3 linked regions of the Arabidopsis thaliana genome follow. The protein of the gene in region 1 interacts with the protein of each later gene in a biochemical or structural test. Each region holds a gene or a part of one and is shown in the gene's direction. Other genes may lie near its edges.

What was found.
Region 2: the proteins of HB-7 (region 1) and TBP2 form a complex in vitro, tested with the Arabidopsis thaliana proteins (one study listed by BioGRID).
Region 3: the proteins of HB-7 (region 1) and TFIIB form a complex in vitro, tested with the Arabidopsis thaliana proteins (one study listed by BioGRID).

What each region holds. Positions count from the first base shown.
Region 1 is NC_003071.7:19,162,260-19,171,976, reverse strand, and holds HB-7 (homeobox 7), read left to right. Parts: upstream 1-5,009; 5' UTR 5,010-5,203; coding exon 5,204-5,563; intron 5,564-5,783; coding exon 5,784-6,200; 3' UTR 6,201-6,703; downstream 6,704-9,717. Other genes in the region: AT2G46670 (CCT motif family protein), read left to right, coding at 6,744-7,196, 7,290-7,388. UniProt on the Arabidopsis thaliana protein: Probable transcription activator that may act as growth regulators in response to water deficit.
Region 2 is NC_003070.9:20,721,664-20,732,480, reverse strand, and holds TBP2 (TATA binding protein 2), read left to right. Parts: upstream 1-4,389; 5' UTR 4,390-4,653; intron 4,654-4,994; 5' UTR 4,995-4,997; coding exon 4,998-5,074; intron 5,075-5,169; coding exon 5,170-5,257; intron 5,258-5,368; coding exon 5,369-5,440; intron 5,441-5,526; coding exon 5,527-5,577; intron 5,578-5,702; coding exon 5,703-5,747; intron 5,748-5,891; coding exon 5,892-5,984; intron 5,985-6,075; coding exon 6,076-6,177; coding exon of another isoform or gene 6,178-6,207; exon of another isoform or gene 6,208-6,256; coding exon 6,257-6,331; 3' UTR 6,332-6,337; exon of another isoform or gene 6,338-6,425; 3' UTR 6,426-6,975; downstream 6,976-10,817. Other genes in the region: AT1G55535 (uncharacterized protein), read left to right, coding at 23-118, 226-249, 359-400; AT1G55530 (RING/U-box superfamily protein), read left to right, coding at 1,954-3,009; BCDH BETA1 (branched-chain alpha-keto acid decarboxylase E1 beta subunit), read right to left, coding at 6,976-7,011, 7,094-7,180, 7,269-7,346, 7,438-7,533, 7,608-7,694, 7,764-7,832, 7,914-8,101, 8,185-8,242 and 4 more; ECT4 (evolutionarily conserved C-terminal region 4), read right to left, coding at 10,031-10,087, 10,189-10,335, 10,435-10,647, 10,731-10,817. UniProt on the Arabidopsis thaliana protein: General transcription factor (GTF) that functions at the core of the DNA-binding multiprotein factor TFIID.
Region 3 is NC_003071.7:17,354,799-17,365,254, reverse strand, and holds TFIIB (transcription factor IIB), read left to right. Parts: upstream 1-7,632; 5' UTR 7,633-7,854; coding exon 7,855-8,207; intron 8,208-8,603; coding exon 8,604-8,628; intron 8,629-8,736; coding exon 8,737-8,866; intron 8,867-8,959; coding exon 8,960-9,090; intron 9,091-9,226; coding exon 9,227-9,315; intron 9,316-9,397; coding exon 9,398-9,474; intron 9,475-9,566; coding exon 9,567-9,700; 3' UTR 9,701-9,956; downstream 9,957-10,456. Other genes in the region: AT2G41650 (uncharacterized protein), read right to left, coding at 1,036-1,222, 1,304-1,317; AT2G41640 (Glycosyltransferase family 61 protein), read right to left, coding at 2,864-4,077, 4,215-4,292, 4,391-4,601; AT2G41620 (Nucleoporin interacting component (Nup93/Nic96-like) family protein), read left to right, coding at 10,258-10,359, 10,437-10,456.

The sequences.
Region 1 (9,717 bases):
TATAAACTTTAAATGAAATTATGTAATCTTTAAAAAAAAGTAAGGGTTTATTTCAAATTTCCAACCCCATAAGTCATTAACTAAGCACTGGACGAACTTTTCTTTGGCATATAGTACTATATGCTGAAGGAGCTACCGTTTCTTATGTATTCAAGGACTAAACATAAACTGTAATTGTTAAAAAAAATACTGAAATAAAGCAATTATAATTCAAGGACTAAACACCAAACTTAATTGTTAAAGAAAAACTGTAATAAAGCAATTAGAATTTCTGAATAATTAAGAACTAGAGGAGGAGCGAGGGTAGCATTGAAATTAGGGAAAAAGAGGGACAAGAGCATTTAATGCCTCTTTGTTCGTATTCTCTCAGCCCATTCAATTTCTCAAATCAGATCCCAAATTTCCACTATCCTACTCCTTCCTCACCTTTTCTATTTCAAAATAAAAATTACTCCACTATTTTCTAACGTATAAGATTTTTTTACAGCCATTCTTTTCTATCTATATATATTAGCTGGTTACGGTGAAAAGACTACAAAAGAGGGAATTCAATATAAATATGAATGGTATCCTTATGAAAATGTAATTCACAACGAAAAAAAACAAAATTTCAAAGAAAATATATATATATATATATGTGAAAAGTGCGGATCTCAATGTAATGAACATAAAGACCCTTTCTCGAATGTCTATTGATGAGACCTTTACTTGTCAAAAACTTTTATTCACTGTATTTTTAACCATTTCTTCGATATATCCCCATCACTCTTTTTTTTACCCCTCTCAATCTATCCACACTACACTTACATAAATCATATATGCGTGTAAGTATACGTTTGTTCTTACCTATATGCATGCATACAATATCAACAAGTTATAGGAATTTGTCTACTCGATTAGTGGTGTTATCCAATACGCATAATACAAAAAATAAATATATGATGTCATGAGTTTACAAACTCATAGGTATCAAAAAGTAAAAGGAAAACTAATTAGCAAAAAAAAAAAAAAAAAAAGCGATGTAAGTTCAATGATCACATCGTATTAGACTATTAATACTGGTCCAAATCATGTATTGGTTCGCACTAAACCTATTTTTCAATCAGAACACATTTATATTGGTTTTATTACAAAATGTTATGATTATGCCAAAGGTGGCTCACTACATATTATCAATCCCTCAGCTAGCGTGGGCTAGACAGTCCAATGGGCATTTTCTTTAATTTTGTTAACCTGATAAGGGATAATGGGCTTTAAAACATCTAGTATGGGCCTTTTAAATAAGAAAAATTCAATGCTTTGTTTTTTTTCCTCCCTTACTTTTGTTTTGTGAGTCAAATTTATAAGAGACAAAAGGTATATGAAATATAACACAAAACATGTCAAAAAATTAAATAAATAAATTCAAGGTAAGAGATAAAGATTTTCGGGGATCGAAGTAAACACTGAGAGTTTTATATGGTTAAATAAAATGAGAGAAATATTATTATTTGAAAATTGAAACTGGTTTCGGTAGTGGAAATAGATCGAAACCTAAAGCAAGAGAACAGAGTAACATGACTAAGGTCTTTGGTCCGACAAGGTCAGCAATGAGAACCGTCTCACGCCTAATCTTTGGTTTCCCCTTGACTTGGTATTATCAGATTCCGTGACTAATACAATTAAGTAATTAACAATATCTATAGCTTAATATACAATAATTTAGATAATTATGACAACATAAGCAATTGAATATATCTTTCATGTACAATGAACGTACTTGTACTTCAACATACTGTAGACATTTTGACACGTAGAAAGGGAAACGAAAGAAAGTATAACAAAATTCTAATACGGATAAAGTTCAGGTCCAATCACTCATTATCTTTATCAGTTTTCGCCTCTTTCGTTTTTTTTTTTTTTGTGTGTAAAATTTCGTTTTGTTTTCTTCCTAATTTTGTTTTGTCCTTTTCACATTTTCAAATTTCCTGTAAACTCTGTTTCAATAGTTGATCTTTCAAATAAACTGGAAAATAAAATAAAATATTGTCCATGTCCAAATTGAACATGCTTATTTTTTAAAAAAAAAATGAAACGTGAAAGTCGGAGATTCGGTGTATTAAGTAAAATATCTAGTCCTAAAGATGGGTTTGTTTGTTTTAATTACTCGGTAAGAAAAGTCGAGCCGCTTTATTTTCAACATCGCTTTAACGAGGAGTAGTAGTTAAAGAAGTAGGGTAAGATTGTTGGCCACTTGTGACAATGAATTTACGATTATTATAACCTTTTTGATAGTAACATTATAAATAAAACCAATGATGATTTTGACCAAAAGTAATTAGATATTTCATCTATTAATTCTATAAAGTTATTATCACGAAAAGATAAGCTTTTTTTAAGACGGTGCTAAATGTCTCTTCCCCATTGGCACCTCCTTGGCATCATATTTCCACAGTTCCACACCATCAGATATTCAGATTACACATTAATTTGATCTAGTTGTTTCTCAAAATAAAACAAAAAAATTTCGAATGTGGTTTAGAATATTTATTGTCCATTCGGAAAATATGGAATAATAGAGTTCTATAATTCTATCAACAATTCCAAAATTGGTGGAAAAAAGTCTTCTTGTCTGATAAAGTCACTACTATAAATTACTTTTTCTATCGTTAAAAACCAAATTACTGTGTTTGATTCTCATGTATCATAAATTGATTAGAGATGCAGTAACGGTAATAATCTAAAAAGCAGGACAAAACTTAATTCATTCGTTAAAGAAAATAAAATAAAAATAATAAATTCATTCGTTAATAAAATAGATCTTCGTTTGAATATTACGATGGTATGAAAACAAAGAAAAACTTTGTGAACGTGACACCATACTGATAATCTAACATAAAAAGTCCTAATTAATTGTAAATATATCAAAAAATTAATGTCACACGCGGCAAGTCGAGGAGCTTGCAAATACAAACAAGCCAAGCCATCGTTTATTTAGTAATAAATTAAAATTATACTTTTTAAAAAAAGAAATGAAGAATTTGTCTTCTCCTACGGCTCTTCTCAGAAATTGCGATATACTAGTTAACCACGACACGTGTGTACTTTGCTGGGCCAAAATATTCAGGCACCACCACAGATCAACTGCCATGTCATCTCTTCTATCAACTTTGATGTCCCAAAGCATTGAACTCTCATCTCTGATTATAACACTTGGCTAGTTTTCGATGGCTGATTTTGATACTTTTTGATTGCCACTTTCTGATAAGTTCAATAAGACTTTAGAAATTGATCTCTTACGTTAAATTTTAGTTGGTACTTCTTTTTGGTTTAATTTTAGTTGATACTTGATAGATATAATTTCGAATTATGTTTTTTTTTACAAATATCAGATTTAATTATTAAAAAAAGAATATTAGGGTTTGAAAATATCTTATCTAGATGGCCCAATTTAATATTTTTGCTTGTATTAATTAGTCAAAAGAAATTTCCGACAAGCAAGGTGAACGTAAACCTTAAACTAATCAGGAAAGCAAGAATTAAAGTTGCTTTTCACATTAATACTAATATTGTTAAATTGTTATCGCTATCGTGAAGAAAATAAAGTCTAGGGAATCTGCCTCAAATATGGTTTCCCTGTTGGCAAAAATTTAACTTGCTTCCATTCAAATGATGAAATGTTACGAAAAATTAGCCTTTTGTCTTTGGAGTAATGTTTGTTAAATAATCACGAGGCATTCATTCTTAAAATACCATAACATTTATAGAGGTTTGAAGTACCATAATTTGTAAAACTAAACTAGAGAAATTTTGCGAAATCAGTTGTATGAAGACTTTCTTAAAAATAACGTTATATAGACTCTAGAAAAAAACTATTATATGCCATTTCTATTTAGTTTTTTTTTCTAAAAATATATATAAATATGGTGTTGTTAACATAAAAACAGAAAAAAAGAAAAATTTAGAAAATTTTCTCAAGAATCATTATATCTGTGATTTATCATATAAGTTCAAATATGATATTAGAAACAAATAGTTTACGAGTATAATAGTATTGTCAATTTTTCAATCTGAAGTAAATATCTTTTTGTAAGGAAGGGGTCAACAAATGATCACAACAGAGTTGGCAAAAAGTTATCAAATCGCATGCACGGAAGTTTTACGTGTGGTGAAGGTAAACTTGTATTACACTTATCTATAAAAATTAGTTTAGGCTTTGATTCTAAATCAAATCTCCGATTAGAAAAAATTGCGTAAGCAAATAGCTGGAAAAAATTGTATCCCATCATACTTAAGTCACAATGTTTTGTTTTTGAGATTTGTGATGTAATCAATATATGTTTTACAATGCAAGTATAATAATATTAAAGTCACATTCTAAGAAAATTATGATTTGTGTCATACGTATACAAAAACACCCGTCACACATCCTGACTTCTGAACGTTAAATCTGTCGCACACAATCATAAAAATTTAAAAATTCACCAGAGATGTACTGAAAAGAATATAATTAATCACATGATGATATATGCATAGGAGATGAGGATTATTCATTTTCTGAAATTCCCTATATGAACCATTATAATTGTTTAGTAATCAGTTCAGAAATGCTAATCATTATATGAACCATTATAATTCCCTTCATTTTTATTTAAGATCCACTTAACAGGATTTGTTAATATGCACCCACATCACTAAATACATTGGTACGCAACCGTTGTTCCATTTCCATTTTCACATCGACCAGAATGTTTACTATGCGGTAAATTGTGTAGTATGCAGATTTTTTTGTATCATTTAATTTTCTAACACTTGTTAAGTCGAAACTAATTTTGTCACAAGTAAAAGAAATAAAAAAGGTGGAAATTATTAATCAGTAGTTAGATGATTAGTTTCGAGTTGAAATGAAACTCGACTTAACAAGTGATAGCGACGACTCTAGAAACAGCCAAAATCCGCCCTATTGCTACCTGTCGACCCACAAATCGTTTACTCAAAAATGAATAAAAAATTTACGATAAAGCAAACCCAAAGTTATATCTTATTATATGCTAAGGAGCCCTCCCAAAAAAGAACAACAAATCACATTTTTATATAACTGTTAACATAATAATCTCAGCCTCATCAACACACATATATAGATAGCCAACATCACACAAACATAGAGATTCCAAAAAATAAAAATAAAGAAAACATAAATCCTCTGAGGAAAAATTCCGATGAGATGACAGAAGGTGGAGAATATTCTCCGGCGATGATGTCAGCAGAGCCATTCTTGACCATGAAGAAGATGAAGAAGAGCAACCACAACAAGAACAATCAGAGAAGGTTTAGCGACGAGCAGATCAAGTCACTGGAGATGATGTTTGAGTCTGAGACAAGGCTTGAGCCAAGGAAGAAGGTTCAATTAGCTAGAGAGCTAGGGTTGCAGCCGAGGCAAGTGGCTATATGGTTTCAGAACAAGAGGGCTCGTTGGAAATCCAAGCAGCTCGAGACTGAGTACAACATTCTCAGACAAAACTACGACAACTTGGCTTCTCAGTTCGAGTCCTTAAAGAAAGAAAAACAAGCTTTAGTCTCTGAGGTATGTTCTAAACTCTGTTTATTCTTACATGGTTAGTTAAAATCTGTGTATTTTGTGGTTGTATACTGAAAAACTGTGGTTTTAAATATGTGATAAAATATGTGCTTTAGTGGTTATATTGCAATTAAGGACTGATTAGGTGATCAAGAAAAACTCTGTTTTGATGGTTTATTGAAGGAGAGAATAGATTGTTGATGAGTTGTTTTATACCTTTATGTAGTTGCAGAGGCTAAAAGAGGCGACGCAAAAGAAGACACAGGAGGAGGAAAGGCAGTGTAGTGGAGATCAAGCGGTGGTTGCTCTAAGCAGCACACATCATGAATCAGAAAACGAAGAGAACCGGAGGCGTAAACCGGAAGAGGTTAGACCGGAGATGGAGATGAAAGATGATAAGGGTCATCATGGGGTTATGTGTGATCATCATGATTATGAAGATGATGATAATGGTTATAGTAACAACATCAAGAGAGAGTATTTTGGTGGGTTTGAGGAAGAACCAGATCACTTAATGAACATTGTTGAACCAGCTGATAGTTGTTTGACATCATCTGATGATTGGAGAGGTTTCAAATCAGATACTACTACTCTCTTGGACCAATCCAGCAACAATTACCCTTGGCGGGATTTTTGGTCATGAAAACAATAAACTCTAAACAAGAAGATGAAACAGATTGAGACTAAAGATTGGATATATACATATTCAAATCGAAATTTACCGGTCTACATCGCATGAACCGAGCCACGGATATAGAGATATTCGGTCCAGCAAATGACTCGTTTCTCAGCGAGAATTTTGCAGGATTTTGAGCTGAAATTGTATGGTTTTGTCTGTATAAATGATGTGTTTAGAAAGACGTATATTCTCAGTTCGTGTTTGTAATTCTGTTTTTAAGTAGTAAGTACTCGTCATGCTTTGTAGCTAAGTAGTAAGTTTAAGACTAAATTTGGATGAATAAAAATCAAAAGCAGGAGAAATCATATATATAAAGTGTTATGCATTAATATGTAAAAGATCAAGAAGAGAACTAAGTTGGTGAGAAGAAACTGATATTAGGAACACGAAAAGAACCATGAAACCCAAGTTAACATCTTCTTGACTCGGAAGATTTAAGGAGAAACTTTGTTTTTTTCTCAACAAAAGCAGAGTATCAAAACAGAGTCAGTCAATTCGCAAATTCTTATGTATTTAACTTGCAGATTTGAGGAAAGCAAGTCAGCAGAAAAAGCCGTCGTTGCTTTAGAGGAGAGTACTTCAGGTGAGCCAAAGACACCAACCGAATCACATGAAAAGTTGAGAAAAGTAAGATCTGATCAAGGAAGCTCCACAACGAGCAGCAACCAGGAGAATATCGGATCATCAAGCGTAAGCTTCCGTAACCAAGTTCTTCAGTCCACAGTAACGAATCAGAAGCAAGATTCACCCATACCGGTAGAATCAAATCGCGAGAAAGCAGCTAGCAAGGAAGTAGAAGCTGGTTCTCAAAGCACCAATGAGGGGATTGCTGGACAAAGCAGTAGCACAGAGAAACCAAAGGAAGAAGAAAGTGCGAAACAACGTTGGAGTAGAAGCCAGAGAGAAGCTGCATTGATGAAGTTCCGGTTGAAGAGGAAAGATCGATGCTTTGACAAAAAGGTAAGAGACACACAAGCTTCATCATAAAAACAGCATCTGAAACAAATACAAGATCAAACTGATTCAATGGAGATGTATAAAAATGGATTACAGGTTCGGTACCAGAGCAGGAAGAAGCTAGCAGAACAACGTCCTCGAGTGAAAGGCCAGTTCGTGCGAACCGTGAATTCAGACGCGTCTACAAAATCATGAAGAGCTCTTTCAGTTTTTCCTCTGATTTCTTTTGTTGATTTTATAACAGAAACTTATTTAGCTTTTGCAATCTTTAGTGTGCTTTTTTTTTTTATGTATTTGATTGGCTTCTTCTTCTCAGCTAATATGAGATACTGGGGCAACTTTTGTATATATGTCTGCAAATGATCAGGCTAAGCTAAAACAGTAATTCCAATTTCGTTAAGTTGAGAAATATTTCTTGTTGTGATCATATCCAGGCCGCTTCTCTCTCGATACATACCAACAAGAAACAGATTCTATAAAACTTGATTTATATACCATTGCTATAGTCTATGTATTAAAACTCATCACATTAATTCTCTCACAGTCAGAGAAACAAAAAAAAGGAAACAGAAGCTATCAAAAGAAATCTTTTTTGTGACCGTTAAAAGAAGATTTTGTGACCGTTAATTGTGATTATCAGTTTCCTTTTCTTCGCTTATAAATAAATAATTACTCTCTCACTGAGAGTCTCAACGCTTCTTCTAAAGAATTCGACAAATCAAAACTCTCTATTTCTCGCTTCTTCTTATTCTAAAACCCTAATTCTCTTCTCAAGACAATTTTGTCTTTATCTCTCTGTGAATTCCGATGATGATCCAAGTAGAGATATTCAAGTAAAAGCCGATGGTGATGATCTCTGAAACGTCCGTAATTGATCGGAGCGATATCATATCATCATCGTTTCGTGATTGAACCATCAAATCTATGTCATCAAGATCGATGTCGCCAGATAATGATCTGACCAACGAGAGACGCTTTCACCGGAGACTACAAAGAGGAGGATATAGCCAAGAGAGCGGAGAGCTTTATGGTGGTGGATGATGTCACGAGAGGGCTCCCAAAGACCGACGGGCTCAAATCTGACTTTGGAATGGGCTTTGCTCTATGGGCCCTTTTTGCTACTAAATCCAACAAGGTATTACTTTTTTCATTCTTTTTTTTTTTGTTTTATTTTCCTTCAAAATTATTTTTAAGTAAAACTAAAACTAATTAGTTTCACCATAACATTTATATAACTAAAATGTTTATATATTTTCATTAGTTTAAGTGTAAAATGTTTTTACACCTATATTTTATTATAACTTTAGATTTTTTTTATATAGATAAGTGTTAAATTTTTAAATTTTGTGTAAACTAATTGGATACATCATCCAATCCCCTAAGAGTTGTTCTAGGTTCAATATGGTTTACATTTTATTTAACTTTTTAACACTTGTTTTTCTTATATTTAGCATTTATTATTATTATTATTTTGAAAAGATTTTCAACTCTTTTTTTTAAGGTTTTATAAATACTAAATTAATATGACGTTGTGAAATCTAACCGGATTTTGGGTCCCGCCATTTAATCGTGCTTATTAGCGATTCCATAAATCCAACATGTTTTTCACTTTTTCATGTATATTTAGCATTTCTTTTTTCTTAAAAGGTTTTCAACTCTTTTTTTTTTTTTTTTAAATTTTATAAATACTAAATTAATATGACGTTGTGAAATCTAACCGGATTTTGGATCCCGCCATTTAACCGTGGTCATTAGCGATTCCACAAATCCAACATGTTTTTCACTTCTTCATGTATATTTAGCATTTATTTTTTATTTTATTTTCTTAATAGGTTTTCAACTCTTTCTTTTTTTTTTTTTTTTTTTTTTATAAATACTAAATTAATATGAAATTGTGAAATCCAACCGGATTTTGGATCCCGCCATTTAATTGTGGTCATTAGCGATTTCACAAATTCATATGTATTTCACATTTTCATGTATATTTAACATTTATTTTTTATAATGAAAGAAATCGTTATTAAATTTTTTATTAAATTAAGAAAATCTCTCTATTGATAAATTAATATTATTTTAAATTAATAATATTAGAATTTTAGGAATTTCACTATAAAATTTTATTAATTTATAAAAGTTTTACTGTAGTTTTAAAAATTTAGTATGTTTAGGAATTTTTCTTCTTAGACAATTCAATAAACCCTCAAAAGTCAAAACGAAAACCCAATCATTTTGCTAAACCGCTTCTGCGAACCAATATATGGAACCGATAAGAAAAGCCACTAGATTGATTAGTTTGAATTCAAAATTTCACCGGTCAGACAAGATACCCAATCATTGTGTTTACCGTTGCTATAATGAAAAAGTGACAAAGGTCGATGCAGTCAAAGTTTTATTTGATACCTATTCAAACTCTAGTTGATTAGCAAGTATTCAAAGTGTATGTGTAATATACATTGGACAGGGAGATGAGAGATTCAATTCAATGCAAGTTGTGTCTATGTGACTCCATCAATACACTTGACTA
Region 2 (10,817 bases), on another chromosome or scaffold:
GTCACCCTTGTGTCCTTTGTAGGTAAATCATTATTCAGCTGGGAACAATGGATCACCATCTGCTGCAGAGGCCTCTCATATTAAGTCTCCCATATTCAGATCCTTGCATTCAATTGATGTTAGTCTCCATTGCTTGAACATTGTTTTTGGTCGTATTGCACTATATCTTGTTACTGTTGTGTTATCACAAATAATAAGAAAAATCTGGTTTCAATTTTTATGTAGGAAGAGAAGGGTTTGAAGAAACCGGTTAGTCTCCATTGATTCCACATATGTTCTTGGTCGTATTTGCAGTATATCTTTATCACTGTTAATTCACACATAATAAGATAAATCTTGTTTTGAATATCTTTTGTAGGAAGAAATGTGTTTGAAGCAAACGGGGATGGCTTCAATATGATTCAAGAAGGGTAGTGTGACCATTTGTGCATCTAAGCAAACGAGTTGTCTGTTGAGGTTTAGTTATCGGATTTTGAAGCCGATAAAAATGCTATTCATCAGTGTTCCATAAGCGAGGGAGAATTATGAAGAGTCGTCGTGTCCATACAAAGCAGAGCAAGAAGATTACATAACACCTACAAAAACATGAGATTCTATATGTTGAGGACAAGTAAGCACTGTTTCTACTTTGCTATTTCATTATTTGTTTTGTCTGAAAATATGTTATTTTTGGGGATATATGGTTTAGAATAGAGTCGGAATCTACTTGATGCATCATCCATCATATAAAATTCTTTCCGAGTTTTTTCTTGCGTGTAAATGGAATGGAGATACTTTCTTTTTATGTTTTTGGTTTGCAAGTGGAGATAGTAAATTAAAAGATTTCGGCGTTGATATGTGTCGTCCTTGTTATAGAGTAAAACGATCAGGACATGTAACCAAATGGGATTGTAGTAATACCGTCACTACATCACGAGCCGTTCATGAAATTCCGGTAGTAGAATTCATCCGTAATTTCAACAAAACTCCATATATTTTGGATGATCTAGAGAGAGCACCTTTGTGGACAATGTTATTTTTTGGTGGTAATCATAAATAAGAAACTTCCTATCCAATAATTTAACATCAAAAAGGCCCATCTAATAAAAGTATACTTAAAAGCCCACAAAAAGAATCCAAGTACACGTGTTGATGTTTGTAGAAAAGTCTACTGGAATTAATGAGCTGATTAAAAAAAAGGAGCAGCTAATTAAGAATAAGACCCACAGAGAGAAAAGAAATGAGAAACCCAGAAGGATCTGGAAGAAGAGGAGGATCCTTTTCATTTTTTCTTTCTTGGATAAACTCTCTCCTATCTTTTTTTTTTTCTTTTCTTCTTCTACTTTTCTAATTTCTTACGACAATTCTCCTCCTTTCGTACATAAAACAAAGAAACCCTCTCTTTTTCTCATCTTCTTCAATTTTCAAAACTCAAAATCCTTCTTCATCGTCGCTACATTTTTCTGTGCTTCTCGGTTTCTGCTATCGAACAACAAGACTCAAAAGGTTTGCTAATTTCTGTTACTTTTATCGTTTCTTTAAAACGGCTGATTTATGGTTAGGGTTTCAAGATGGAACGCAGATTCTTCTTTCGATTTTGAATCCGACCAAACAAAAGCTCATATCTTTGAATCGATGACTTTGTTGTAAACTTTTACGATTTCGTCTACTTTGATAAATGTTCTGGTTTGCGATTGACGATTTCAAAACCCTTTTCATTTCTCTTCTATAAAGTCATTTTCTTTTATTGACATTTTGATATTATTGGGTTTTTCAGTGTCTTGATGATTGGGTTTTATTCTACGCTTTGATGTTCCTTATTCGCTCTTAGGGGTTCGATGAACTTCATTAGCTGACAGATGTATATTAGTCTCTTCAACGAGATTTACTCATTTAGCTACAAGTTCTTATTCTGTGTTATTTTATTTTTTTTAATTATTCTTTGTGGTTATTTCTAGGTAGAAAGAATCGGACATGGAAGAAGCAGTTGTAACGAGGTATTGGTGTCATATGTGTTCTCAAACTGTGAATCCAGTCATGGAAGCTGAGATCAAATGTCCCTTTTGTCAAAGTGGGTTTGTTGAAGAAATGGAAGATGACGACGATCATGATTCTTCTGATCCGGCTGATGTTAGAGCAAACAACTCTCTTTGGGCGCCTATCTTGATGGAACTTATGAATGATCCTGTGCGTCGTAGGAGAAACCAGAGTGTTGAGTCTGTTGAAGATAATCAAAACGAGGTACAGACCGAGAACAATGAAGACGATGGAGAAAATGATTTGGATTGGCAGCTTCAAGAGATTCTCAGGAGAAGGAGAAGACATTCCGCTGCTGTTTTGCAGTTGCTTCAGGGGATACGAGCAGGGTTGTCTGTAGAATCTGAGAGTACTGGTAATGGAGGTAATAATCCGGGACGGGTGATCTTGATCAATACCTCCAATCAGACTATCACGGTTCAAAACTCTGCTGATATGGATTCTGTACCTGCTGGTTCTTTAGGTGACTATTTCATTGGTCCTGGATTTGAAATGTTGCTTCAACGTCTAGCTGAGAATGATCCCAACAGATATGGAACACCTCCTGCTAAAAAAGAAGCTGTCGAGGCTTTGGCTACTGTGAAAATCGAAGAGACTCTGCAATGTTCGGTTTGTTTAGATGATTTTGAGATTGGAACTGAGGCAAAGCTGATGCCCTGTACGCACAAGTTTCATAGTGACTGCTTGTTACCATGGCTTGAGCTTCACAGTTCATGCCCGGTTTGCAGATATCAGTTACCTGCAGATGAAGCCAAGACTGATTCAGTAACAACAACGAGCGATAACAATGGAAGCAGTAGTGCTTCTGCTACAACCAGCCATGGAGCTGAGAACAGCGATGGAAACCGGCGCCAAGAAGAAGAAGAAGAAGAAGAAGAGGAGGAGGAGGAGGAGAACGAGAACAATGACGGAAGCGGATTCTCGATCCCGTGGCCGTTTAGCACCTTGTTCTCCTCGTCGCAAGATAGCAATGCACCAACGGATTCTAGTTAAGACATGTTCCCTGAGCAACATAAGCTTTTTGGTGTGATCATGAAATCTCGGTTCTACCTAAATCTGATCTTTTGTCTGTACATAAGTTTCTCAGATTTGGTTGAATGCTACATCTTTGGAAAACAAATATCTTTCAGTTTGTGTTTTTTTAATTGTTTTTGAGCAAATCTTTTGCCGGATTCTGTAAGTCGCTTGTGTGTTTTTTGTTGTCAACCAAAGCCACTTTTGCAACTTAGTTTGTTAAATTAATGCCTTAATGGTAAAATAACAAGATTGGTGGCTGTAGTACGAATTGTGTTGGTAATAAATTATAAATTTAAACATAAAAAGTAATTTAACATTCATCACCTTTGTTGTATGAAATGGAATTGTATAATATTGTATGCCTAATTACTTAGACCGACTCGTTTAATATGTCGTCATCCAAAACAAAATATGATGTCTTTTACTAAACTTAATGAAGTGATGCTTTTTCCTTGTGTTAATCCATGATTGCATTACCATGTAATCTTTTGTTTACGCGTAAACATTAATTAGAATTTATAAAAGCTAGAGTTCACATGTGTAAAATGCGACCAAAGTTACCAACTTTATGCGCTATTAACGAACCTTTTGACATTAACGAACTTAACTTTGATATAGTATATATACTAATATATTAACGTTTCACCAAATCTCCTTGTATATATATAAGTATTGTAGTATCAACTTATTACATTATCTCTCAGATTAGTCATAATCCAAAAGAAGAAGTAATGAATCGTCAGGTTTTATCCCTAATCACTTTGATTATTCTCTTGGTCTCCGCGTACAACACGACTATGGGCCGAACTCTGCCGAGTAAGTGACCGTCTTTGATCATACAAATACAATCACGCATAAACAAAACTCATATTCAGTTCTTAATCTCTTTTTTTATTATTATTATAAATTAAGGGGAAGGAAATGGAGCACAACAATTTGATAATCTAAAAGCTGGTGTCAGACGAAGTGAATCGGCACGTACTCGTCAGAAAGGACCCGGACACTGATGAGTGATGATCTCTAACAAGTTTTAGTTGGCACCTTCATGCAATAATTGATAATCTACTGCTTTGTAATAAGTCCGTCGTTGTGGCGATTCATAGTCTCTACTCGATTCATATTTGTGAACGTGTCTTGAGTTATAGTCTTACATATAGATCCAACAAAAAAACGTATGCTAACACATTCTGTAATAGAACACGTGGCAGACAAAGAGTGGACGGTTCCCTAAAATTCCAGTAAAGACCGTAACATTAAAATCTAATAAGCTGAATTCCCATAATTACCCTCATCCGACAAAGAGAGGCAAGGGTAGTTTAGGAAAGTATATAGAGGTAATAACGTGTCCTTAAGCTCCACAGATCCAAAGCGCAGATCACAAATCTCATCCCCAGAGAGAGAACCCAGAGAGCGATATTGAAAATCAAAACTCTCTCCTTTATATATAATCCCAATTTACAAATCTCTTTCCCTCTCTAAAAATTTCTTATCTTTGTATAAAAAGCCTTCTCCTTTTTCAAATCATTCACCTTCCTTTCGCCTTTTCGGGGGAATTTCTTCCAATCTGTTGGGTTTACGAAACCCTAGATTTCGAAATTCCGGATTGCTAACTAGCGAAAGGTCTGATTTTGTTTCGTACCCTTTGTTCCTAATGGATTCAATTCCACGGATTTTATCTGAATTGAGTTTCTTCGTAGTTGCTTGTTACGAATTGGATCTCATGTTCTGAAGTTGTGTGTTTCATAGCTTTTCGTTGTTTGATTGTGAAACAATGTTTCTAGATTTCAATTATCAAAACTGGTTTTTAGATAACCAGATTTGGTCAATGAAATTGTAAAGCTTGAAAACAATTTTGTTTCGTGGATGCTTGTTGGTTTGGATCGACATGAGTTTCTGTTTTGCCCTATTTAAGACGAGATTTATAGCTGATGTGTGTGTGTTTACGTTGATTCTTATGTTAGAGAATGGCTGATCAAGGAACGGAAGGGAGCCAGCCAGTTGACCTTACTAAACATCCTTCAGGGATTGTTCCTACTCTTCAGTGAGTTCTCTCTTTTGTGTCTCTGTTTTAAGATTCTGAGTTTGTGCTTTTGTGAATCACAAGATCTTACCTTTTTCTTTTTTGGTTTGTTTCAGAAATATTGTCTCAACAGTGAACTTAGACTGCAAGCTTGATCTTAAAGCCATAGCTTTGCAAGCTAGGAATGCTGAATATAACCCCAAGGTTTTGCTTTCTTTGTGATATTCGTGTTTTAGTAATCGATCATTTTGTTTGGTCTCCACCACTTTGGTTTGTATTTTCGGATTTGGTTTTAATCTGTGTTTTATGTTCCAGCGTTTCGCTGCTGTAATCATGAGGATCAGAGAGCCAAAGACCACAGCGTTAATTTTTGCTTCTGGGAAAATGGTATGTTTTCCTTTGTCACTTTTTCTCTTATGGCCTAATCTTCCATGTCCTTGTTTTGACGTGGCATCTATGCTGTCCAATATTAGGTGTGTACCGGAGCTAAAAGTGAACATCTTTCAAAGCTTGCTGCAAGAAAGGTAAACTAGCTCATCTCAATACTGTCTGATGTTCTTCTTCTAGCATCACTGTAGTTAGAAACTTGTTACAGCTCTAGTAGGTATTTGTTCTCTGTTATATTAAAGAATTCCTTTTTGTTGTTCAGTATGCTCGGATTGTTCAAAAGCTTGGCTTTCCTGCAAAGTTCAAGGTACTCATATGTCTCTCTCTGGTCCTGATCCAGCACACACTGTGTTATTCATTTTTATCTCAATCAACAATTCGTGTGTATTTTTATCGGAAGGAAAAATTACGTATAAAGTCTAGTAATAAAATTGCTGATTACATTTTGCAGGATTTTAAGATACAGAACATTGTAGGCTCATGTGATGTCAAATTCCCCATTAGGCTTGAAGGTCTTGCATACTCTCATAGTGCTTTCTCAAGTGTAAGTGATCTCAAGCATTGTGATCATATATACTTGTAACATGGGTGTTAATCGGTCTGATGATTCATACCTCTCTCATCATTGATGCCAGTACGAGCCTGAGCTATTTCCAGGATTGATATATAGGATGAAACTTCCAAAGATTGTACTGCTTATTTTTGTGTCAGGAAAGATTGTTATAACTGGAGCCAAGGTAATAATTGAACTTCTCTCAAATGATTAAAATTGTTTCCATGAAAATGCTTCTGTCATCTTATGAAATCCCGAATCAGATGAGAGAAGAGACTTATACCGCATTTGAGAATATCTACCCAGTTCTTAGAGAATTCAGGAAGGTCCAGCAATAATAGTATGTAAGTTCAACTTTCTTTATCTCCATTTACATTTTATACCCCTTAATCAATCAACAGTTTGATTATGACTATTTCGATTCGAAAGCAGAGCCTACCATATTGAAGGCAAAAACCATGTTCACGTTTGGATTGCCATGAACTAGAGATCTCGGGTGTTGGCAGGCGCTTGGTGGGGTTATATTCCTTGGACAAGAACTTGAAATGATTCAGATTCAAAACCAGAAATTGTAAATAGAGAATGGAGATGCCAATAAATCTCTTTTCTTTTTGTTCTAAAAATGTCTTCCAAGTAATCTTGTTTCATGTTCTGTTTGTTTCAGTGAACAATACCCAATCATTAAAGAGTTACTTAGTTCTTTGCTAACTGTTCTGTAATAAGACACCAAGTCTGTTTGCCCTTTAATATACTCTTTCAAGCAATTTGCCGCTCTGGTTTGTCAAATGTTTGGATCATAAGCTTTCATCTTTCAGTAGATAATAATCTTCGTACACATTAAGTGAGATAGTCCTATTATAACATGTTTTCGTTATCTTGAAATTCATTAAAGTTAATCGGTAGTGTTACATTAGACGAATTGATAACAAAGACATGCGATTACATTAGTCCTAGTGTAAACAGTAAACTACAGATAGTACGGCTAGTAATTCACAGTCGATTTGATTGCATCCAATATCTGCATCAAGCAAGAACACATGATATGTTAGAAACTGCGTTTTGGGTCGGAATAGAGGAATGATAAGAGAAGAGGAACTTGCCTTGTTCTTGGTGGGCATGTAGAATGGTTCAAACACAAGAGGAAATGGAGTATCCAGACCACAAACTCTGCTTACTGGAGCTTCTAACTGCATTTTAAATGACAGTTAAGAAACGGAGAACCAATAAAGAGTAGTCACTTGTAACGGTGATGATTTGAGCTTTCTTTTTACTAACCTTCAAAAAGCAACGTTCCAGAATTGTTGCAGAGATCTCTGCTCCAAAACCTCCTGTTACAGGAGCTTCATGGCTTATCTGCAACCCCAAGCACAAGCAAAAGCAATCTATAAGATCGACCAGACAAATCAAAATCCGAAGTTGTCAATCAAGATTGCTTAAATCTTACAAGAAGTCTGCCAGTCTTTTTAACTGAAGCCTCAACGGTTTCTTTGTCCCAAGGAAGCAGTGTCTTGAGATCTATCAGTTCACATGATATTCCTTCCTGCATCAACTCAAGACCTTAGTTAATATTACTGCGAACCATTCATCATTGAGTTGAAAGATAAAGCTATAAACCTTTTCCGCGTCCAGACAAGCTTGTTCCATAACGGTAAGCTGAGCTCCCCATCCAACCAGTGTAATGTCATTGCCTTCTCTTATAACCTGCTCATAACTCCTAATAGTGAGATTCTCGTCTCCGAAAATAGACGGCCAAAAATGAACTTATGATACCTCTGCTTCTGATAAAGGTATCATATAGTCATGCTCAGGGACTTCTTCTACTGCTTGACGATACAGCCACTGAAGGAAATATCAACGTTTCAAGACTTAAGAAGAGGTGCTAAGAAGCTGATTTGGTTGGTAAAAAAGAAATGGAAGTACCTTTGGTTCGAAGAAAACAACGGGATTTGGATCACGGATACATGACAACAACAGTCCCTTTGCTTCTCGTGGACTCCGAGGGATAACAACCTTAATACCAGGGACATGGCAAAAGAAAGCTTCAGGGGATTGTGAATGGTAATGTCCACCATGACCAACTGCTCCATATGGTGCTCTTATCGTAAGTCCTATCAAGATCCATATAAACCATAATGAGTAAAATAGATTACTAATAACAAATCAAGAAAAAGCGTAATGATGAAAGATTTACCTCCACAGTTGAATTGGTTACCACTTCGGTATCTGAACTTTGCAGCTTCATTAACAATCTATAAATCACAAAACCGTTCAGAAATATGGCGACGGAAAGCATATGCTTGTTTAAAGAGAGAACATTTACCTGATCAAAAGCAGGATATATATAATCTGCAAACTGAATCTCTACAATTGCTCGATTACCCTGTCAAAATGGAACACCAAACTGAATCTCACAACTGTACAGTTCAAAACATGAACACAAACAAGAACTCACCATTGCTGCTAGACCAATGCCAAATCCAACAATGCCCTGAATCCAGTCAAAACTTAAATGAATGACTCATCAAGAAACACTACCTTAAGAAGTGAAAACAGAAGCAGGTCAAAGAATGATACCTGCTCACAAAGAGGAGTATTGAAGACACGGTTTTTCCCGAATCGTTCAGCTAAACCTGTTGTACAGCGAAAGACTCCACCAAAGCCAACGTCTTCCCCAAAGACATAAGACCTCCCACAACAAAAACTTAAAGTCAGACTCTAAAACGACATCATACATATTTGAAGCAACTATATGTGTATACTAATTAACTAAATTCCCCACATTTTTTTTATCTTTCTCCACAGAATGTATTAGATGTCTATTAACCTAAGGATCAAATGTCTAGTGTAAGCTTACCGAGGATCGGTGTCCAAAGCGATGTGAAGCGCTTGATTAATAGCAGAGTATAGATTCAATGGTTTTCCAGTTTCCGTCGATACCCTCCTAGCTCCGTGACTCAAGCTCGGAAAACTCAGTTTCCGGCAGGATCTGCCTAAAAGAGCCGCCATTTACACAAACCCACCAACAATCAATCTGAAAAATATAGGATTGCGACAAAAGCAAGCTCTATTTTGGCAACTTTCACCCAACTGGTAAGATTTTTAGGTGGCAAAGGTTTGCTACTTTTGGTGGGTGAAGAAAGAAACAGATTCTAAGTTAATCACGTAATTACGAGATAGATGATAGATACTCCTGCCACGTCAAATCCGACACGAATCAATATCTCTCTCGCAAGTTTTTTTTTTTTTCGCGGTAATTTTTTGGATGGTGTCGCAGACTTGGTGTTACATTAGGGCCCAAAAGGCTAAAGCCTAAAAGAAATCCATATTGAAATGCAAAGACATCATCTAGATGTTTTAGCCATATGGTTTGCCAAACTCATACTCATCCAAAATAATAATAAAATCAGATGAATTTAAATGCAGATGATTCTTACAAAAATTGTAATTGTCTAAAATATACTCATTTACCCTCATACTTTAAATGATGTAGTAAAACCTGTATAAATTAATATGGTTGTTAACATATATAAACTCATTGTTCATATTTTAAGAAATTATGCATATAGATTCAACGATTTCCTAGTTTCCGTCCATACCCTCCTAGCTCCGTGACTCAAGCTCCGATACTCCTGTCACTGTGGATCCGACACGAATCGATATCTTTCTCTTGCAAGTTGCAACTAACTCATTTTATGCGAGTTTCACACAAAAATTAATGGTCTAACTACAAAGGTTTATAGAGTATTAACAAAAACATAACATTTTAATTGGATGTGTTATCCTTGTCCAATCAGCCTTTTAGGTTTTGAAAACTTGGAAACAGAGGAGAAATGGAGAAGGAAAGAAGATACTAAATTTTCAGATTGAAAGCAAAATCTAGAAGAAATTAAGAAAAGACTCAACAGAGTCATGTCCGAACCAGAAACCAAAGAAAAATGAAAATCTGTCTAAGCTAAAACGAAAACAAACCCAACCCTGATTTTATCTTTCACTACTTCTTCATCTTCCCACCGTATGCAGGGATCTTTATACGCATTTTACATGGTAGAATCAACAGTTCCTGGTTTCTCATCATTGGTTTTTCCTTCCCAGACCTGTTAAAGATATATGGGTGCATTTCAATACTAGAGAGTAGAGAGGACAAATGTAAATGCATCTGCTTATATCTATGGAATTAACCGTTTTCTTCTCTTGCCTGCTTCTGGGATTGTTGCTGCTTAGCTTTCTTCTCCAAAATAGTCTTTTGTCGAGCCTCGTAGAACGAGAAATCATCCAAAATGCATGTCTTGCTGTTATGCTCCTTGAAAATCTTTACAACCTTCAAACCCTGCTCCAACTTAACCTACATACATGATCACATGGAAAGAGTTTGAACATTGAAAAGTGGAAAATATTGCTGGTAGATCAGAAACATATAGATCGAGAAGATATAAACACTTACCTCTTGTGTGTCTCTACTGTTAGTAACAGGTTTATTCTCATTGTACTCTAGAGTAATATGCTTAAGCAAACTGTTGGGAACATCCTTCAGAATATGCCACTTGAGGGGAAATGAGCCAGTCCATTTATCCTGTTGCCAGTACTCAATATTTTTGTTGAAATCAACTGGTCCTTTCATTTCCGCAAGGCCAATAAATTGTCCACTCGCGTTGACCTGGAGACAATTGGGGTATATACTCAGCATCGGGAAACAAAACGAATACACAATATGAAATAAACTAAGAATTAGGTACAAACCGAGAAGAAGAGAAACACAGGGCAGCCACTAGATTTCTGCTGAGCCTCTTGATATGCAGCATCAAGCTTCTTGTTTCCATTTGGGGT
Region 3 (10,456 bases), 1.8 Mb from region 1:
AATGATTCAGAGCATCTTCTCTCGAATCTCCTCTTCGTTTCCAGCTGCAAGAACAGGAGCATTTTACATACACAAGCTGAGGCTGTAAAAGGGACAGGACAAGAAGAGAGTGTGCACAGACCAGCAGCATTTTACATACACAAGCTGAGGCTATAAAAGGGACAGGATAAGAAGAGAGTGTGCACAGACCAGCAGCGCTTCAACATCTCGTTGTCTTTGTTCAGAACTGAATATATTCGTAATATATGCAGAGCAAGTCAGGTTTTAGATCTTACACAATAAACAAAAAGCGAGATATCATAATTTGTTATTCTGCACCAAGACAGCTACAACATAGAAAACCAAGTGATATCTCTCAGGATAAAGGATTCAAGTCCTACTGTCGAGTGAGTCCAATACAAGTGATAAGCCAAGAAAACGAGAAAATCAAAATTGATATATGGTTCACACAAGCACTGATTCAACAAAAGAAACTTATTTGCATAGAGGTTCAACAAATGGCAACTGCAACACAGCCCATAGAAAATATTTGAGGTCAAGTACAAAAGTAATCCTAGAGCCAATGGCCTTTGTGTTTGATGCTTAGTCCATTGCAGCTTTTGAATGTTTCACCGAGAAACACATATTGTATCAAAGAATCCAATGCCAAAAACAACCAGTTTTTTAGCATTGTTGTGAAGTCCATTTTATTCATAATTTTGTTCTAACCGGTAGAAAAAATGGTTTTCGCTTGTACGTTGAGTTCCTTATTTTAACTTGGCCAAAATCAAAATTTCTCTATCAGAATAGAAAGCAGAGAGAGATAAGCATCAATAAAAATAGTCAAGGATCAAGCATATATAGATCCAAAGATACAACATAACAACTCCCTGAGTCTCTCAGTACAGGAGCTAAAACATTACGTACTAAATCGATCATTTACTACATATTAAGACTAATTTTCAACGACCCTTAAGACAATAGCTACTAAATCGATTATTAAGACTAAATTTCAACGACCCTTAAGACATTTTAAAAGGGGTAAACAGAGACATATTAGGGCTGCTCCATACGCCTCTCCAGCTCTTCCCTCGCCTTACGAGCCACATTTTTCAGCCGCTTTTCCAGTTCAAGCAGCTCCTCCTTACTCAAGGTTTTAAGATCTGCCTTCAGAGCTTCTAGACTTTCCAGAAACTCCTTCAACCCATTTGGTTTCTTCGATCCTTTTCCAGATGCATTCAAGCTAACATAATAAATACTATGTTAAAAAGAGGTTACAAAAGAAAGCACATCAGAAAATTTCTAGGGTTCAAAAAAGGATTACCTCGCTGCCGCCATCGTCACCTTGTTGGGAACTAGGGTTCTTCACTCTTCTGGTCAATAACGTGTGAGACGAAGAAGCCTATTTCGATATATATATTTGTTTGTTATTGGGCCACTTAGCCTTTCTTATCTTGGGCTATTTATAATAAACACATATGACAACAAAAGTCCAAACTTCTTTTTTTTTTTGTCACTCAAACTGAAATTTGATTGATAAACTTGATGTGGAACCAGGGAATTACACGATGCCTAAACAAGAGAAACAAAGCCGACGAACGAAATTAAAGTTCTCGGAGACAAAGCCGGAGGAAAACGAAGATATCCCCGGAAGCATAGCCCTATGAAAGGGAAACAAAAGAAACTAAAACACAAAGCAGCAAAAATTGGACCCTAAACGTAAGAGAACGAACCCAAATACATAAACAGAGACAACAAGACTAAAAACCAAAGAAAACAATAGCTACAAGCGGCAAATAAGACCTCCTCCTCATAAGCACTTGCGATGAGACTTACTTCGGCTGCCCACGGCCACCCCGAAAAAAAATCTGCCACCTCCTATCATAAAGAGAGCCAATCTCTCGAAACCAGAACCAAGAACTTCATAACCCAGCAAGCCAACCAAACTGGAATAAACTCGAACAAGCCTCCGGGTGCGACGGTGACGACTGAGGCGTCTAAATACATCTAAATAGAAGTCTTCAAAAAGCTATCAAAAAAGATCTGAAGCAGGACAAAGAGAGAAGCCTAGCCTCCGAGAACCTTCATCGTGAGAGAACACCACAAAGGTAGGAGAAAGCTAACAACCACAACAAACTACACTAAGGAGGAGAGACCGACTGCCAACAAAGAAGACTATCACAACAAAAACATAACGAAACCTCTGAAAAGAAATGGGGCAATCCAAATGGGAATTGATGGCTGAAGCAAGGAGACAAGAGACGGAGGGAAAGGCAAGGTTCGGGAAAAGATCAACAGATCTAACCGCTCCTACCGCAACCTCAACGAAACAAAAGTCATCCCTTGAAACAAACCGAAAAATTCCCCAAACGAGGGCCAATAGATCTGCAGAATCAACCAAGCACTTACTCAGATCTATCCAAAACTAACTGAATCAAGGACGAGATCTCTACTACTACAAGACAAAGCATAAACTACAAGGACAAAAAAACCAGTTCCAATGCTACGGAAGCCACCGGCCACTGGTCTCCGACGAAGAAAACGGCAAGAAGCGGCTGAAATTAGGGCGAACAAGAGAAAGGCGATAGTTGATGAGAGAGGAGTGAGCGGCGATGAAGTCCAAACTTCTTTATCAATTACAAAATTTTGATATTCAATAAATATTTTAGTTTATTTATATAGGTCCAATAGGACCACCTACTATTTCTTTTCTTGTGCTTCAAATATTTCCTAAAATATTGAAAACAAATTGATTATTATCTTAACGAATAACGACGATATACTACAAAACTTAATAAAATAAATAACTTACCAAAAAAAACTTAATAAAATAAATAAATTTAATTGTCATTCAAAACTTTACAAAAAAAATATCACACGATTCTTAATCTTCTCTATGTAACAAGTAATCTTCTCTAAATCTCCTTCTAATGGAGAAATCATACGAACGAGTTAACGTTTCTCTGAATCTTCTCAAGTCAAGCTTCACGTTCTGTCCTTGTAGATAGATTTTCTTCGTATATTCCCATCCTTTGTCGTTTAGACTATCCGGATCTCGGATTACAGGGTCATCTTTCCCATATTCTTCATACAAAGAGCTCTCTTTCGGCGCAATCTTGTAACCAACGTACTTCAATCCTAGCTTCTTCGCCGGTTCTCCATAATATGTCTCTGCCGCCCAGTCCGTCCCTAATGGGATGATCTGAATGAAAACGGTTTTCGGTTTCAAGAAAAGGAAATGAGTCATTGCTGCTCCATGTACACCGATCATTACATCGCTCGTGTTCAACGAACGATAAATCTTGGCCATTTCCGTTGTCTTTTGTGGTCTTAGAACCTCCACATTGAACCCTGTTTTCTCTGCTAGCTCCACGAGAAGATTCTCGTTTAATATCGCCCTTGATGACCCGTTTCTTGAAAGAATCACCAGTTTTGGCTTCTTCTTGAAATCGAGTGCGGTCACGTTCGCCTCTGTTTCCTCCTGAGTCAAGCTTTGGATACGATGCGAGTAACCCCTATCCAAAACGTTTCTGAAGTCAACAATGGTTTGATTCCCAATGACCAAAGAAGAATTCACAGTTAACTCGTCGTGAATACGTAATCCAACGGTTGCTTCTTTGAAACAATGTGTTCTCGTATCTCCATTGAAATCAACCAGAGGATAATCCGAGAGCTGCGAAACGACATCTCCATACTTCATCTCCCACCAGTCATGATACTCGACGATCACAAACACAACTTTTTTGTTGTAATGCTGTGAAGTTATAAACAAAGGGATAATCCCGTCGTTAAACTCGTGGTATACGTTACCGGTGTATCCACCAGTGGAGAAGAACACAGCAGGAACATCATGGTACACATCGCATACACGATCTGAAGATTTGTTGGAATCTTTGGTGATGAGGTTGAGTTCTTGAACGGTGTCCATCACACTAGTCTCCCATTTTCTAGTGTAAGGTTTGATCTTTTCCGGTTTTGTGTTGTTATTGGTGGAGGAGGTGAAGAGGAAGATTGAGGAAGAAGCAGAGTTTGTTCGAACATCACCTTTCATTACACAAATATCAGATCTCAAACCGGTTCTGTCACAACAAATGGTTCCTGCGTGCATAAACAAGAATCGATAACCGTAAGTTTTATGCAGATTATACACTAACTCTGTTTCTAATATTAAGATGAAAAGATCAAAACTCTGTTTTCTTCAGGAGTTGGTAAAAAGGTGAAATAAAAAGACTAACCATTGGAGATTTCTGAGCACAGAGGGGTAATAACTGGCTCATAAGAGCTAAGACCTTCGATTTCTCTGCGAAACGAATCTGGAGAAGAGTAAAAAACAGAGAAGATAAGTGATGAATCAAATAGAAATACCAAAAAAGAAGAAGAAGTTAAGATTGTGTGGGAGAAATAGTAGTACCTAGGAGGGAGAGAGTAGAGAAGCCGAAGAGGTAATAAGGAGACAAGACGAAACAGCAAGAGAGGATAGAGAGAAAGAGAAGACAACGAAACTTTTGTTTAGCTCTCTTGGAGTAGCAACAACCACCTCCACCACTTTCCTCTGCTGAAGAAACTCTAAACTTATCTTCTTTTCTTCCATGGTGGATGATTAATCTCTGGTACTGCACCATCTTCTGAAACGTTAAGTTTCGATTTTGATCGATCTTGGTGATTTGGGTGACGTTTGAAGCACAAAACGAAGAGAAAATTCACCGGTAAAGAAAACTACACAAACAGAGAATTACTTTTCTTGAGGACGAAGGAGAGAGAGATAAGATTGGGTGACTCTGAGGATATAAAGAGACTTTTTGATGCATACGCATATATACATACAACTATATGAAACGAGTGAAACGAATGAAAGGGATCAATTTAGATTCCTTTTGTAAAGAAAGTAATGTTTCTATTTTTAATATTTGGGGTTTAGTGGACTTTCCTCTGATATTTCGGTAATAACACGGAAACAACAGAGAGGAGACGGCTGTCAACTTAAGTTGTGTTTGGTCAAAGTCAAAGAATTTGCAAGATTTAGATAGACCACTTAGTTAAATTGTTACCTAAATTTTTCTTTATTTTTAAATGAATTAAATTGTAGAATTTTCTTTGTGATATTACAACAAGTTGGCCTAAATTCAGTTTTTTTTTTTTTTTTTTTCAGTTAAGAAAATCGGTCAGTTTGGTTTTCAGATTTTAAGAGAATCGTTATAGTTCGGTTCAACTTTTAAACCATCTCTGACGACAATACACAGAGAAGAAAAGAAATAGTGGACCATTTATTTTATCGGTTAGAAGTTTAAAAAAAAAACGAGGGTGAACCCAGAAGACGACGTAGCATTATTGTGGGCCTAAAAAACGGCGTGAAGTTCAAAAGAGGTTGATGTATATTCTTTTTGCGGCATGTGCGTGACGCTGAACATCTGCTTTGACAACGGGTTTCGCATAAATATTAGCTATCCTCGACCGTTTTGCTTTACCAAATTCGACGAATTTTATTATTTTATTTTGGTCCATCGAGTTGTATCTTTGACAATTATTAACCTATAAAAATGAAGGAAAACAAAATAATATTTAAAATCCCTTCCAAGTTCCAACGAATTTTAAAAAAACTCTTACGATAAATTATTGTTTGCTCCAATATGTTCTTTATTGCCTGAAAATTTTCGGATAATGAATTTGTTATGTAGCTATATATAGAGAATAATCCAATGTTTAACTCTATTTTGATGGTCGGCTACCGCCTAACATCTTAACCGCGTCCGTGAAATTGACTAAACTTAAAAATTGAATTTAATTGTAACTGATAACAACAACGTATACAAGCAAAGGTGGTAATTTGTTTCATACTTTCATTTTATGGCACTCTTGCAAGAAAAGAAAAGAGATGAAAGTATGAAACGTTTTTTTGGACACCTAGCTATTATCGTTTTTTGGACAAGATAGTTATATCGCGGCAGCACTTGTTTTAAACGATATCCAACGCTATTTTAATCCACACAACACGATCTGCATACCTTTTCAACAACATTTTAAATTATGAGCATGATAGAAATATGTATCATCGAATCTCATTGATCCATTCCAGAAATTGAACGTTGTAAAGTCCAAACTATTGATATTCAGAACTCTTGTACTGTAATAAGTAGCAATACCCTTGTATTACCCAATCATTATTTACCCCCACACAATGCATTACTGTTAAGAAAAGTCCAAATAATTCCTATATTCAAACATATATAGTCTTACACCAGGCTAACCCATCACCTATTCCTTAAACATACAAAGAAATAACTGAATTCCCCCTTGTTAATTTGACTCTCAATTCATATTACAATCTTATATTTAATGTAGTCGTATTGTACTCATCTCCGGTTGTTCGGAGTGAAGACAAACAGTCGTATTACGGTAATCCGATGCAAGCAGGCAAAAATATTTTTGTCCAAACACAGAGAGTACTAACTATCATATTTGTTTTCCTTTACCCAAGAGTAATTAATATCATATTTTGTTATATCAAGAGTAATATCATATTTTCAGATTTACTGCTTGTTTCTAAATTATTTTCTCACATGCTACTCAAAAAAATTGCGAATGGTAGCACGGATTTGCCTCCTTAACGTGGAAGGACACAGTCTATCTCCTTGTCTTAGTGGTCACCTAGTTTGGCATGCCCAAAATGTTTCAAGGTTTTGGTAAATGAAAATCATCATGGAGAGATATAGCTGATACAATGTCAGCAATGTTAATAATCTGCAATGTCATAGTATTAATTTCTTGTATCGGATATCCAAATTGCTTTAATCTGTTTGAAAGTATCTACTCCTTTCACATGGTAAAGATTTACATCTAATAAAAATAAAATCTGTAATATTTAATGTTTAGGTGTAATCAGTAATAACTTTAGACAGAAATATCTTTAATTTCTTTTATAAAGTAATATCTTAAATAAAAAAACTCTCTATTCATAAATATAACTTATCCTGAGTAAGATTTTGTTGCAAAAAAATTGAACTCACATAATATGGATATAAATCCAAAGCATTAATTTTCTTTTATTTTGGTTAAAGTTGTTGATTCAAAGCATTCATATATCATTAAATTATAAAGTTTTTTTTTTTTTTTTTCATCTTTATAAAGTTAAATAATTTCTGTAAATGTTGTGAGACACGTATAAAAAGGGGTGATATATGTCACCTTCAAAGCAAATGACCAGTTTTGTCTCACGTACTAATGTTTAGCTATTTCAGGAATAAAATTACCCAAAAGTTGGTTTCTGTATTTTGATTGTATACTGAACCAAAGTTCAAAAAGGGTCCATTTAGTGACCCAAATGGCGATAACAATAGTACTACAATGGGCTCAATGCCGAGTTTATATCTGTACCTATATCCAAACACTCCTAAAATCTTCCAACTAAATTCCAACACATGCGACCGGTATGACTTCCCTAACAAGTCACTTGTTTCTTTTTCCTCTGTCCTCCTAAAACGGACAAGCAAGCTAATTTAAAATAAAAATAAAAAACAAACGTCAATCGCTGGAGAAAATTAATCCACCGTCCGATTGATTATTAATAGGTCCCACTTAAATAAACGATCTAGATCTTCTCCTCACGATGCACCGCCCTAGAGCTTAATTTTCCCTCATCTCTTTGTCTATAAAACCGGAAACCAAACCTACGGATTCTCTCCTTCTCCACATAAGTTACATCTCTCGTGTTTTGTTTTCTTTGTCTCCGATTTTTTTCGCGACGAAGAAGAAGACGAGAGATAGAGAGAGAAGTAGAGAAATCGAAGGAATCTGTAACCGATTTTAAGATCTCAATTTTTAGGGTTGTTGATTTTTCAATTTCTGGGTTAATTTTTTTTAGGGTTTTCATTTGGAATCATGTCGGATGCGTATTGTACGGATTGTAAAAAGGAGACGGAGTTGGTTGTCGATCACTCAGCCGGAGATACCCTTTGCTCCGAGTGTGGTTTGGTTTTGGAATCTCACTCCATTGATGAGACCTCTGAGTGGCGTACCTTCGCTAATGAATCTTCCAACAGCGATCCCAATCGTGTCGGTGGTCCAACCAACCCGCTTCTCGCTGATAGTGCTTTAACCACTGTTATCGCTAAGCCCAATGGTTCATCTGGTGATTTCTTGTCTTCTTCTCTCGGGAGGTGGCAGAATCGTAACTCCAATTCCGATCGTGGTTTGATTCAAGCTTTTAAAACCATTGCTACCATGTCTGAAAGGTAGTCCCCATTTTGAGATCTCACCTTCTCTGAGATTGGATTGCAACTTTATAAACAATTGAAACGTTTAGATCACACGATCCTTAATCCTATTGGAGATTGATTTTGTATGAACTTGCTTTGATTTATCATCACGCCTCTTGCATACGTTTGTGAAATTACATTGTCAATTAAAGAACAAAAGGAGCTTCCTTTTTAATCTTTCATTGAGAGTTTTCACTTTCCTTGTACTTTATGCGTTTAGCTCGTGATGTGTTAGTCTGTTCCTCAAAGGGATGAAGTTTCTGTTGGTTGTTTAGAGTGTTTGTTTACATTGCCAGATTTATGTTCTGCTGTGTATGTACATTATTATCCTTGTGATAATAGAGAACACTAACTTGTTGATATTTTTTCCAGGTTGGGACTTGTTGCAACTATCAAGGTAAACTTGTTCGTCTCTGCTAACTTAATATGTTTGTGGAATGTATATGTTAGGATGTGCTGTTGGAGCATTTCATTTACAGCTTTGGTGGATTTTCGTGATATGTAGGATCGGGCTAATGAGTTATATAAGAGGCTGGAGGATCAGAAGTCAAGCAGGGGAAGAAATCAGGATGCACTTTATGCAGCCTGTCTGTACATTGCTTGTCGCCAAGAGGACAAGCCACGAACTATTAAGGGTACATTTCAAAGATTTCTCATTTGAGAGAGTCTTGTTACCTCTTGATATAGCTTTGACATAAGTCAATCAAACTCGTGAACCTTGTGAATAGAAATATGCGTTATTGCCAATGGGGCGACAAAGAAGGAAATTGGCCGAGCAAAAGACTACATTGTTAAGACATTGGGACTGGAGCCTGGTCAGTCTGTGGATTTAGGAACTATACACGCTGGTGATTTCATGGTGAGTTTGTCTAAAACTAAAATTGTTGCTGATACCAGAACCTAGCTAGAGTGTGCTAATTATGTTATGAAACAGTTGATTATGCTGGCTGCATTGACTACGTGGTTTCATAACTCTGTATTTGATGAAATTGCAGAGAAGGTTCTGCTCCAACCTTGCAATGTCTAACCATGCGGTGAAAGCTGCTCAGGAAGCTGTGCAAAAATCTGAGGAATTTGATATAAGGTACATTTCAATTATTTCCCTCAGTTCGGGACGGAGATAAACACAGCAGAATCTTAAAGATGTTTATTTTGGGAAATTGCAGGAGGAGTCCTATATCAATAGCAGCAGTAGTCATCTATATCATAACCCAGCTGTCTGATGACAAGAAGACTCTCAAAGGTTCGGTTTTTTCATTCTTTCGGGTCTCATTTATTCTCATTGATTCGTTTTAAACAAAACATAGACTGATTAATATTTGGGGTGGGGTGCAGATATATCGCATGCGACAGGAGTAGCAGAAGGGACAATAAGGAATTCATACAAAGACTTGTATCCACATCTGTCAAAGATAGCACCAAGTTGGTATGCAAAGGAAGAGGATCTGAAAAACCTGTCAAGTCCTTGAAGTCGTTTCTTGATTCTTCTATATGCAATAGAGAACTATCTATATCTATAAATCTATATCGACTGAGGAAGATACAAAGCAATTGTTCTCTCTCTCTAGTAGAGCCTTTTGTTTCTTTTTCAAATCTTTTTTGAAGTCCTTTGCTTAAGATTCTTGTAATGGCGTTAAAAAACTTGAAGAAAGGAATATTATTATTGTTATAGTAAGATGGTAATTTTTTCATAATCTTATTCCCCCATACAATATTCGCAAAGCGGAAAAAAACTTTGTTCATGAAAAGAAAATGAGACAAAAATATGTTTGGATTTACAGAGCATTTTTGATGGCTTTTTAATTTGTCTTCATTGGTTGTCTAATTCTTAAAAATGGGCTAAATACAGTAAATAGCTATTTTTTCTTATCGAATTTAAAGAAATTCTATATATTAACAGAAAAGTATAATTAGTCGTAAAAGGTAATAACATAAAACAAAATAAATCAAAAAGGTTTGAATCCCGACGGAAACCCTCTCTTTGCTGCTTCCCCGACTGCGTAGTAGTAGCTCGAATCCAAAATCAATGGCGAACGACCAAGAGATGAGTGGTTGGACTGATCTTCTCCATTCTTCGTCGAAGCTTCTGGAGCAAGCTGCTCCTTCTTCTCAGTTTCCTCCTCTTCAGGTTCTTCCTCTTTCCGCTGGTTTTGAGGTTCATCGTTTAAGATTAGTTCGATTGATTTTTGTCTGTTTCACTATCAGAGAAATTTAGATCAGTTGGA